2 linked regions of the Caenorhabditis elegans genome follow. The protein of the gene in region 2 purifies or fractionates together with the protein of the main gene of each other region. This does not show direct contact. Each region holds a gene or a part of one and is shown on either strand. Other genes may lie near its edges.

Region 1 (4,378 bases), on a different chromosome or scaffold from region 2:
AGACTAGTGTTGTAAATTGAGATAGAATTTAAAAAAATATATTCAAATTATTTAAATAGATCGTCTAGAAAGCATTATAATTTTGCATTGGTAATTTTTGTTTATATAGAATCACCTCAATCAAGTGAAAATGGGAGTGTTCCATTGTTTTTCTTTACTTACTTAGTGACGCAATTTCATAGATTACGCACGATTGATCGTCAACACAAACCACATTATGTGAAATTACAAAAAGTTGTGCAATACTAGAGTTTACTTTTTTCCGTTATTTTATATTTTTCCCTTGATTTTCAATGCATTGCTATGAACTTTGGTACAGTTTATTAAAATAGTTGTTTTTCTAAATTTATTGAATATTGGACCCCTATAATGTGCAATAAAGTTTTCGGGGAAGTTAACTAAATTTTATCTGAGTTAGATGTGGATTTACAAAACATTATTATTTTTTTTCTATTTCTAAAAACAACGCTATTTGGTCAAATAAGTTTTCTATCTTTTGTGTAACTAATTGATATTTGGATATTTGAGGCGAATTATTTGATTTAGGCTATGTCTAAAGAAAAATAGATATTTAAAATAATACTGCCGGAGTGTTAATAGCTAGAATATTTATTGCGCCTTATTGGAACTTATTAATACAACTATTCGTTTTTGGTTTGTAAATTTACCTGCCATTATTATTTTTTATACATCTGTATATCTTGTAAATATTATTTACAACAAACGGTTTATTTGGCTCAACTTATATAATATTTACATAGAAATTTCATTTACACTTCTATTTTAGATTTGCTTAAAGTTTTTACTGTGCAAGTGCCAACGTTCCAAATCTTCCATTAGCCGTTCAGCTTTTTCTGTGAGAACTTCACGATACTCTTCTGCGTGTTCGTTGTCGGATGAATAAGAAAGTTTCATCTGAAATCAATTAACTTTCTCATATACGTTACAGACAATACCTGTGCAATCGGTCCAAACATGGGCAACATAAAGAGACCAGCAGTAACAAAATATTGACGGTAGGATTCTTTTAACTAAAACTAGAACATTGTTCAAATACCATGAACTACAAAACATTTACTTGCTCCAGTGAATATGGCGTCTCGTTGTCCTGAAGAGCTTCCAAGAAATACTCGTAGAATTGCTCCAAAAGCCTTTCCCAGTGTGCTTGACGATCTGCTCCAGAAAGTGTACAAAGAAGAAGTCTTACCAAATCTTCAGCTGGGTTTCCCATGTGAATGAGCTGCAATATTACAGAGATAAAAAACACAACTTTTTGGGGACTTACCTGGTAATCTATAACTTTGCTTACTAAAAATTTTCCCTCATTCTCTTCCCATAGAATATTCGCTGACCACAGATCTCCGTGCACCAAGACATCACGTTCGATACCTGACATAAAGATCTTATCTCTCAATAGTTTTCACTGATAGGTAAAATATATCCAAATTTGTGAAAGAAAACTCACCAATGTAACTGTTTAGGTTAATAGCTTTATCCAAATCTACGAGCTCAGTTCCATAAATCTCAACTTTGTCGACGCTTTCTTTTAATCGTTCCGGATTGATTTCACGAGTCTGCTTAAAATTATTTTGCATGCCTTCTTCACTGAATATTGTGTTTGACATCTTCTTCAAATCAAATCCAGCAATACTTTGTTTTTCCTGATCAGTCAAATGAAGACTTTCCGCTTGAAGTCTGGCAATCGATTTTAATACCTGTAAATAAATTGAGTTTTACTTGATAATCTGATTTAAAACTTACAGAGTGCAGCTCAAATGGTTTTACATTGTAATAGAGATGTCTTACAGTTACATCATCAACAGCTTCCATGCCCAATATTCCTTTTGTTTGGTTCTCAGAATCAAACTTTTTGTAAAAATAAATCTTTGGACTTAACAACTCATCATTCTTATTCCATTTCTTCGTAATTTTATACAAATTAACTTCTCTGTTATGAAAAAGTCGTGATTCATTCTCAAATAGGGCCATCAAATCAGCTTCATTTGCATCATTTATCACGTTCTGTTCGCTTTCTTTTAGTTTTTCAAGAAGACCAACGACATGGAGACATGATGTGATTTTCAGAATAAATTTCTTCGGGAGATTCTCATCTGTGATAGTCCACTCAGGCTCAACCAAAATCACACGACTCATAAATCCCTGAAATAAACGTCTTGTGAATATTTTAATAGTTTGAACTTACATTTCCATCTCCAACAACAGTATATTTTGTCTTCTCTCCAAGTCTTGCTTCAGTATTCATTTGATCTCTAATCAATTCTTGAACATCTTCCAGCTGAACATGGGTTTGAAATAAACCATCTCCATTTTGGATAAGAGTTTTAGATTCACTCATTCTTCTTAGTCGCAGGAAGAAAGTAAATTTAAGAGACAAGAAGCAGTTGCTTTTTATACCAATGATGAGTTCAGTGTGGTCTCTGCTATCAACGTTATCATACCATTCGGTTCATACGCTGAATTCAAGTCACAAGTTGAAAAAGTATTTCCTAATTGTAAGCATACCACCGCATTCTTTAATTAAATGACATCCCCGATAGTCTTATTGAGCTTTTGTATAATTATTTTTTTAGTAATAAACTACCATTTGACTTTAAAATTTTAACTTTCAATAAACATCTATTTTTTATAATTTTTAAAGGTTTTTTTTTATGTTTTCAAACCGTTCAAGCTCAAGAACGTCGTTTTAATTAGATTTAATTTATGAAACTGTACTTAATGAATATCTCAATTTTTTTTTCAATGTCAGAAGGCCATGTATCACATGAACTTACCACACCTGCACAATAGATAAGGTACACATTTTTTATGCTCAACATTCGGTATTTCTAGATTTATTAAACTGCGAACTGGTGATAACACATCACGTGTAAACTTTGCAAACAAGCGTATTCAAAGAATTAATTTTTGAAATCGTCCTATTTCCACTTTTTGATGATTTCTCTAGTGTACAAGTGCCGATGTTCCATGTCATTTAGAAGACGTTTTGTTTTCTCGGTCAAAATCTCTCGGTATTTTTTAACTTCATCTGGATCTGACATTTCAGCGAGTTTAACCTGGAAACCAAATATTTCTATTTAAAATAATTTGAAATTACCTCAGCAATGGGACCAAACATCGGTAACATGAGAAGACTTCCGGTCACAAAGTACAAACGATATGATTCTTTTAGCTGAAAAAAATAACATCAAATGTAATGTTTCAATATCAGTTAAAATATACCTGCTCAAGAGTATATGGAACATTTTTGTCTTCAAGAGCTTCTATGAAATATTCGTAAAATTGCTCTAGAAGCTTTTCCCAATATTTTTGTCTCTCGGAACCGGAGAGTGTAGAAATGAACAGGCGCACAAGATCTTCGGCTGGATTTCCCAAATGAATCGACTGGAAGATGTTCAACGGTTACAATGTTTTTGATTTTGAGGTTCAGAGTAGTTTTGAAATATTCGCAGTTGAACAAGAGTTTTGGGAATGAGAAAATTGTAGTTTTTGTTAGAATCGACGCCTAGCTACCTATTATTGAGTTATTTATTGTAGATACCTGATAATCAATAATTTTGTCGACACGGAATTCGTCTTTGTTCTCTTTCCACATTATATTAGCTGACCACAAATCACCATGCACCAAAACATTTTTCTTGATTCCTAAAACATTTTTATTCGCCATGATCAACATATTTTCTGCTGACCTAAATAATTGTTCAAGTTCTTCACCAAATCAAAATTAACCAGCTCAACGCCAAACACTGCAATTTTATCTGCAGCTTCAGATAGTTCTTCCTTGTTAATCTGGCGGACTTGTTCAAAAATACTGTTGAGCCCATTCTGGCTAAACATTTTTCCAACAATCTTTTCCAAGTCATATCCAGTAACACTTTCTTGCTCTCTTTTGTTCAACTTAAGACTTTCAGCTTGGAAAACGGCAAGAGATTTTAATATCTAAAAAAGTCCACTAACGAATTGTAAAATAAATGTGCATATATATGTTACCGAATGAAGTTCGTATGATTTTAAGTTTATATACAGATGTCTTGTGATTGCATTATCGACATATTCCATTGCAAAAAATCCTTTCGTCAAATTTTCAGAATCAAATTTCTTCGAAAAGAAAACTTTAGGGCTCATAAGTACATCATCCATATTCCATTTTCCAATAATTTCGTATAAATTCACTTCTCGGTTATGCAGACCTTGTGCTTCATATTCAAAAATTGACCATAAAGCAGATTCACTTTTATCTTGAAGATTCATTTGATCCAAAACATTGAGAACATGCATACAAGACGTGATTTTAAGAACAAAACGATTTGGGAGATGTTCACCGTGGACCGTCCAATCGGGTTCAACAAGAATCACGCGA
Region 2 (8,062 bases):
AATTTTTGGCAAGAAAACAAGTGCCACAATTTCACGCAAAATTTGTATTTTTCAAAATTATTTTCCAAAATTTGAAATAAAAATTGCATCGCGACTGAGCGTGAACTAACTGATAGCTTAAGCTTTTAACTTGCTGTGTAGGCACAAAATACCTGCATGTGTGCCTATACAAGTACCTAGCCAGGCAGGCTAAGATAGGTGCATATGCAGACAGGCAAATAGAATGAGTTGGAGGCAGGCAATCATCAGGCAAGCAGATGGGTAGTCACTTTGTTGAGCATGTTGTCAGGCAGGCGTACATCAGAATTGCCTAGTACGTAGGCGGCAGGCCGTAGATGACCAGATAAATATTATCAGGCCTAAAGTCAGGCCGGTAGGCAGGCAAACATTTAATAGGTGCATCTGGTAGTCATGTGGTAGGCACATAGTGAGGCGTGAGAACGTGCCTGTCTACAATGGAAAATTGTGTTTTCGCTAAATGAGAATCTTGAAGGCATAAGGCAGGCAGTAGGCATGTACACTTTTAAGCTGTAGCCGACAACAAACGAGGCTCATTTCTAATGTCATCTTCGTCCCTCCAGAGATAAGCCGCGAAGTTCAAATTTTGGACAACTGTAGAATCATAGCTTAAAATCTGCAATAAACGGGCTTTCACAAAATACTTTATTTCACATTTCAATAAATTCAGACCATTACAGAAAAACTCTTCTTGTCCTCTTCCTTCACATCCTTCTTTGCTGCACCTCTTCTCTTATCCCCTCTTCTCGGCCTATCCTCCGACTTCGGCTTTTTGGCATTTTCTTTTTGGATCTTTTTCAACTGCTCCTGAAACTTCTGACGTTCCTCGTACTCCTTATTCACATCATTATCCCAAAGTGCCTTATCCTTCTGTTGCTTCTCTCTATAACCCGGATTCTTCTCATCAAACTCTTTGCGCTTCTCCCCCAAATACTCCTCCAAGTTGTTTCCATCCTCCTTAAACTTCTTCTTCTTCGCCGCAAGCAGTTCCGGGTCCTTCTCGTCCTTTTTGAGATAAGGCTCGTAATAGTCCGTCTGGAGTTTGTCGTAATAATAGTGAAGAGCATTGTAGTTGTCCCAGAAGAGTACACCGGCTTTTTCCATCAAGGCTTTTGTGATGCAGAGGAGCATGTAGATCAGTTGCTGCTCAGTTTGAACTGCGCCGTAACGGCAAGCACGAACGGGATCCACAACTGAAAAAGGAAACTACAAACTTCAAACTACAACGAAAATTTAGTCTAGTAGGCAGGCATACAGGCATGAAATAGTAGCAGGCAGGAGAGCAGGTGATAGGTAGGTACGAATGTAGTACTAAGGCCTGCCTATGATGTGCCTACTTTTAAAGTATAACCCATGTACCTGTTAACAAATTTATAGAACATTCCTAGTAGGTCAGCGCGTAGGCCTGCAGGCAAGGGACAGAACGTATAAAAACGTAACTACTTATCAAAAACGATTATGCCATGCCTACAAGCCTGCCTACAATGTGCCTACTACTGAAGAAAATGTCTAATTTTCAGAATTCGAAACAAGCTTGAAGTAGAGGTACAATACTAGCTGAAACTTTTTAAATTTCTCTTTCCGCCTTACCCAATGCCATATCCGATACCTCTTGCTTCGAGCACAACTGAATACCATACTTGATAGCGACAAGTGTTCCTGTACGTCCAACACCAACCGAGCAGTGCACCAGTACGTTTGTCTTGAAACTTTCACAGTATTTGATAATGTCAAGAGCAGTGTGTGGCTCCGCTGGTGCTCCGTGATCAGGCCATCCAGAGAACGCGAGAATCTTGACTGGGAATGGGACTTTCATTCTGCAAATTATAACCTAGTATTTTCAAAGTCTAGGGTACGACTTACAAGACTTTGTTGTTGTGGAACTCGATTGTGTACACCTTGGCCGTCTGCTTATCAGTGAATTGGTCCAAGTTCTCCTCGACAGAAACGGTTTTCACAGTGTATCTGCCAAACTTCATTTCACCTTTGACTTCTGTTGAGTAGTACTCGGCACACTTGTTCTCTGAAAAAATCGTTAATTGAAGAAGGCCGCCTGCCCTGAAGCCCGAACCTCCGTCTTCCTTAAACTGGCACAACTGAGCAACAACTCCCGTTCTGTACTCCTCAATCATTCCCCAAAACTTCTCACGAGTATCCTTCTTCGGAACAATTGGCTTCTTCGACACCTTCTCCCCACTCTTTCTCTTTTCCGCATTCTTCTTCTCTTCTTGAACATGTTCAGTGCCGTCCATTGGACCCTGAATCGTTGAGTTTAACTAGAATTCTACAAAGAAATTAGCTCACCTGTGTCATAATCCATTTGACGCCGTCAATTTCCATCAGATTCGCATTAATAAAACGATCGTTGTTGAAGTCGACAAGTTTTGGCATGGTTTGAGGGTAGCAAATGAACATTTGCTTTCTGGAATAAAAGGATTGGTAAGGGAAGGTAACACCTCCCTGCCTAGGTGCCTTTTTGGGCTTAAACTCTCAAAGTCGCAGTTTAGATTCTCGCATTTTAAATTTTTTGCAAGTTCATTTTTTTAGTAACCAAAAGCTATATTAAACACCTTCATAATTAATTGTCACACCGTTTTGGCTGGAACTCCAAGTCACTTTGTAGGCAAGGTAGGCGGCAGGCAGGCAGGCAGACTCAACGTGAATTCTAACATACCTTCTCTCTGAAACATCCTTCTCCAATAGATTACCCGTTTTCTTCTTACACATTTCATATCCATGCTCAAAATACTCATGGAAAAATTCTCCCGCAGTCCTGTGTAGCTTTCTATCGGCACCGATAGAATTTACGACATTATCCACCATAGCGAATGCCATGTCTGATGTGACCACAACTAAAAAATATTTGAATACACTAAAAAAGCCACAGATTATCTTACCTTCCGGCTCAGGCTTGGGTTCTGGCTGCTCAACAACTTTTGGCTTATCATCATCAATTTTACTTTCTGGCCCCGTTGTCGTGGTAGTTGCTATGCTCACAGTTGGATCCTCCTTTGGTTCCTTTCTCATGCACTTCAAATACAACAGAATCACAAGAATGATCAGAACGACAACAACAGCTCCTCTGCAAAATTTCAAATTAGAAAAGTCAGTTCCCTCCTACCCAAAACTTACATGATAATCCATAGCATACTTCCAGAAGATTCCTCCTCACTAGCTTCTGTTGTTGATGGAGCAATTGATGGAGCATTCTGAGCAGCAGATGGAGCTGGAGTTAGAGAAGCTGCACTTGATGGAGGCTGAGGAGCTGGTGGAGGATTCGGTGGAGGTGGTGGAGGCAGTGTTGACAGAGGTTGAGAATTGGATGCGTACTGGAGGAAGAAGGTATCCAAAGCTTGAAGTGATGCTGGAGCTGATTTGAAGTTGTACTTTGAAAAGTCGAGATCCAACTTGGCAAGAGCATCCAAAGCACTGACGATTGCTCCGAACTTGGTAGGATTCAATGCGGCGACTGCTTTGTGCATTGCTTGAATGTCAAATCCAGTGAGTCCAACAAATTTGGCAGCTTCTTCAAAGATCTTCTTATTGCTTGCAAAACCCACTGTATCCCGCTTTCTTCTGGATCCTTGAGCTCCACCAATTGCAGTAACAAAAGCTTTGACTCCATCAAGTGTCTTTTTCAGAGCATCCCTTAGACCATTCAACTTATTGATTTCCGCGACGTTCTCAGAACTCAGGGCCTTTGCAGCTGCTTCTTGTATCTCAGTGAAGTCCCCTTTCAAAGCATCTAAGGATCCACGAATCTGCATCAATTTGTTGATTTGAGTCAATCCTCTGACAGCCAACGCCAAATCTTTTACAGTGTTCTGAGAATCAGTGAATGAAGTCTTCAGAGCCAATGCTTCTCGTCCATCGGCACTCTTCATAGACTGACCCGACTTTTGAAGAATCTCCAAGTGTTGCCGAGAATCAGAAACTATTTTGCTGATTGTTTTTGCACTGTCCAATGTAGACTTCGAGACGTTTTTAATCTTCTGAATGACATCTAAAGCATTAGATACAACTGGTTCCTTCTCTGTGATGTTGTTCAGGCAGTCAAAGAATTCCGAATCACTCTGGTTAACCGTTCTATAATGTTCATCAATTTCAGGTAAATTGTTTTCAAAAGTCGAAATAAATTTGGAAATGCTACCTATCGACCCAGAAAGAGAAGCAAGATCTGACTGAAGAAGCTTCAGATATTCTTTGGTCTCGTTAAACGTCGGTTCTTCTATCATCTTTTTGATAACCACTCGTCCATCAGCAGCTGAAGCAGGTGTGATACTAAGGATGTTCTTAAATCGAGACATATTTGTCAGAGAGCTGAGATAACTGAACGACGGTAGATTCTTGACTGCTTCATTTAGCTGGTTCATCGAGTTGAAAGCAGCTTCCAAATGATTCAGATTGTTTGCCAGCATTGTTTTTCCCTTATCACACACCAACATAGCATTGATGACTTGTACCGGAACAGTTGAATCCATGACTGAGTTGGCCAAGAAATACTGTAGATTCGTCACTTCTCCAAATGATTTCTTCTTCGGTTCATCCGACATCGGTTTCCACCATTTTTCAGCAAGCCCAAGTGCACTTTTTAAAGTATCAAAATATTGAAAGGCAGTTTTCAGATTTTTAATGACCACCGAACTATTACCAATCCTATCCGCAATCCAATCTTGTTGAAAGACCAGTGACAGTTGTTCCAAATCATTTGAACCACCGGGTAAACCAATCGCGTAAACAAGTGAAAGATCCACTAACTCGGTGTGACTTCTAATCAGCTTTTGGAGTGTTTTGAAGACAGGAAGAGACGACTTGGAGATCAAAACGTACTCGTCAACACTCTTGAAGCTTGCGGTCATTAAGTCTAGTTGACCAAAGTTCACTTTGTTTGCTATTTTCTCCCGGAACGATTGCTCTTTACGGAGCAACTGCACAAACCCTAATTGATCCACTATCTTCTTAGCATTATGTACAACATCTAACTGCGGGAGAAACTTGGCCACTGAGCCCTCGAGATTTTCAAATTTGTTTTTGTAATGCCCAAAAGAACTTGTGAAGCGTAAAATATCACTATCACTTAAATTGTCTTTGGGATTATCTTCAATATCTGAAAAAGCGAGTTCTACAGATTGTGCATATTTTGATAACCCCTTGTAATTAAAATTGATAGTATTCAACTTTTGAACTTCCTCCAAAAGAGCAGTGTACTCTGATGTTCCATTCCAAGTCATGAAGTCATTGATGAAAGATCCCTGCCGGATGGTTTCCAAAACAACTAACCGCTGTTCAATTGCAGTAATTTCAGGAGAAGTTTTGAACTTTGATGGAAGATTCTCCAACTCAGTGATTGCTGTGTCGATGGCTGTTGTGTTCAAGTTGATGACTTCTTGAAGCTTGACTGGTCCCGTGTGAAGGAGCTCAGCAATTGCATCGTCCGAGGGGATGGATCCATCAATCAAACCAATTTCCAACGAGATTCCATTGGCGAGACGAGCAAGTGATTTGAAGTTGGGAAGACTGTCGGATAGTGTCTTGGCTGAAGAAATAATAAATCTAGTTACGGGTATTTATTGCTACCAGTTTCTCTAACATTGTCACGAGAAGCCACGTTTTGTTTTCATGAGCAAACTTCAACAGTTAAAAGTCAAATAGTATTGCGCAATAAAAATAAGATAAATATCATCAAAGGTCATCCAGATTCCACATCAACCAAAACGTGGCAACTCTTTTATTTCTAAGTTATATTTCAATTTCTTCAGCGTGCAACTAGAATTTTAAAAACAACTCCACGAAGTAGATGACGTGGAAGCAAGCAGAAACGTATAGCATTTCAATAGCATTCATTATAAAAAACTAACGAAACTTATAAGGCCTTAAAATCAGTAAGCTCCGCGATCTATCAAGAAAGCGCATAAAAATCCAATAATATTTATTTGAACGCGCTCAATATTAATTACAAGAAATTACCTGAAGCTGCTCGATTAAAGCGGCGAGCAAAACGAGAATCCTTGTTGAATACTGACGAATGTGTAGCTGATGTAGCATTGACAATCAGGAAAATCCATAAAATTGGTATTCCAAATGCAAACAACTGCATTATGATACAGCTGAAACGAGAAATTGTCGATTTCACAACACAAAGAAAAAGAACTTACCTGAGTATTAGTTTTCTATTCAGAAAACTCCAAAGCTGGTACTGATTGAAGTTCAGTTTTGATTTTTGTACAGATTGAAGAGATTGATAAGAAAGTAGGGCAGGACGAAAAGGGCAAGGATGTCACGGAAAATATTTTAATAATGGAAAACCAAGGATTAGTTTTATTTTCCACGTAAATTGTTTGTTTCGAGAAAGTTCCATGGGGAATGCAAAAGTCAAAAGTCATAAACACGTGTGAAATATTTATTCATTGAAATGTTTTAAAGTTTCTGATTTTATTGGAATAAAGTTCATTGAATGAACCGTTCAGATCCATATATTCCAAATTTAACAAAAAATCCCTTTTTTTGAATTTCCCGCCAACGTCGAGCTATCTTGGAGCTGCTGAATCGTTCGATTGCAAATCAGCCAACCTGGATAAATTTTTTACCCATCTAGGAGCTGAACAAGGGATGGGCAGCAAACGATTTTTCTGGGAAATAGGCAAACCGGCAAATTGCCAAAATTAAAAAATTCCAGCAAATCAGCAAACCGGAAAAGTGCCAAAATTACAAAATTCCAGCAAATTGGCAAATCGGCAAAGTATCAAAATTAAAATTTTCAGCAAATTGGCAAACCAGAAAAATGCCGGAATTTAACATTTCCGGCAGATCGGCAAACCAGAAAACTGCCAAAATTGTTTGATTGAACATATCCGGCAAACTGGCAAACCGGCAAATTGCCAAAAGTAAAAAATTCCAGCAAATTTCAAACCGGAAAAATGCCGGAATTGAACATTTCCGGCAAAAAGGCATACCGGCAAGTTGCCGATTTGCCGAACCGCAATTGCCGTAAAATAATATGAGTTGTATAATTCTTGGTCCGTTTTTCAGTGAGTAACTAAACTGGTGGCCGAGTTTCTCTTTTCTGGGCCACTTGCCAAAAACCAACCTGAATACACGATAATAGAATTCAACTTTGATCCCTTCACTTCCGCTTTACATTTTTTTTTCTATATTTTGACACAAGCATATGTAAATTCAATTTCAACGGAGCAAAAGCGGGGGTCCTCCAATTCTTCTCTCTTTTCGTCATAACTTCTTCCTCTCTGACATACGTATGTGCTTATTCCATTTCTTAGCAGTTATTGTTACGACTTTTGCTCAAGATGAAGGCTCATTTGTTGAAAAATGCACAAAACCGAGGCTCACACCGGCTGCGATTTTGGATGTTATTATGGCAAATTATTCAAGGTGAAATTAATTTTTTCATGTCAAATTTTTGACTGGTTTTGGAATAATTGCAAAAAATTGTACAAAGTTGTCAAAAGTTGCCAAAAGTTGCTGGAAAGTTATACAAACTGCGTATAAATGTTGCAAATGTTGCCGAAAGTTTTCGAAAATTACCAAAAAATTGCAAAAAAAAAAATTTTCAAAAGTCGTCGAAAGTTGCCAAAAACTTGTCCACAATCGCCAAAAATTACCAAAACAGTGCCGAAAAATTCCTAATGCTTAAATAGTTTTCGAAATCGCCGGAAAATTGTCAAAAGTTGTCGAAAATTGCCAAAAACTTATCCACAGTTGAAAAAATATTACCAAAACGTACCTGAAAGTGTCGAAAATTGCCAAATAATTCAATAGTTCTTAAAATTGCCAAAAATTGTCAAAAGTTGCCGAAAATCGTCAAAAATTGCCGGAAATTGTTGAAAATTGGTGTGAAATTGCGAAAAAATTGTCAAAAATTGCCGAAAATCACCGAGAATTGCCTAAAGTTTCCGAGAAAATTCCGAAAAAGGCTGAAAGTTGTCAAAAATTGGTGAGAGTTGCCAGAATTCTCCGAGTTTTGGAAAGTTGTTTGAACCTTCTCCAAAATTGCCAAAAAGTTTTGCAAAAGTTGCCAAAAGTTGTC

The links.
Region 1: the proteins of W03F11.4 (region 2) and T16G1.4 fractionate together in Caenorhabditis elegans (co-fractionation; one large-scale study listed by BioGRID). This does not show direct contact.

Annotation. Positions count from the first base shown.
Region 1 is NC_003283.11:12,939,429-12,943,806, forward strand, and holds T16G1.4 (CHK kinase-like domain-containing protein), read right to left. Parts: upstream 2,420-4,378; 5' UTR 2,357-2,419; coding exon 2,204-2,356; intron 2,161-2,203; coding exon 1,762-2,160; intron 1,716-1,761; coding exon 1,466-1,715; intron 1,390-1,465; coding exon 1,286-1,389; intron 1,241-1,285; coding exon 1,079-1,240; intron 1,032-1,078; coding exon 957-1,031; intron 916-956; coding exon 784-915; 3' UTR 713-783; downstream 1-712. Other genes in the region: T16G1.3 (CHK kinase-like domain-containing protein), read right to left, coding at 2,937-3,074, 3,116-3,190, 3,241-3,402, 3,560-3,663, 3,708-3,957, 4,009-4,378.
Region 2 is NC_003279.8:2,234,957-2,243,018, forward strand, and holds W03F11.4 (WSN domain-containing protein), read right to left. Parts: upstream 6,297-8,062; 5' UTR 6,174-6,296; intron 6,126-6,173; 5' UTR 6,116-6,125; coding exon 5,986-6,115; intron 5,555-5,985; coding exon 3,151-5,554; intron 3,101-3,150; coding exon 2,916-3,100; intron 2,871-2,915; coding exon 2,693-2,870; intron 2,441-2,692; coding exon 2,323-2,440; intron 2,277-2,322; coding exon 2,090-2,276; intron 2,042-2,089; coding exon 1,882-2,041; intron 1,836-1,881; coding exon 1,609-1,835; intron 1,212-1,608; coding exon 685-1,211; 3' UTR 646-684; downstream 1-645. Other genes in the region: lgc-51 (Ligand-Gated ion Channel), read left to right, coding at 7,274-7,407.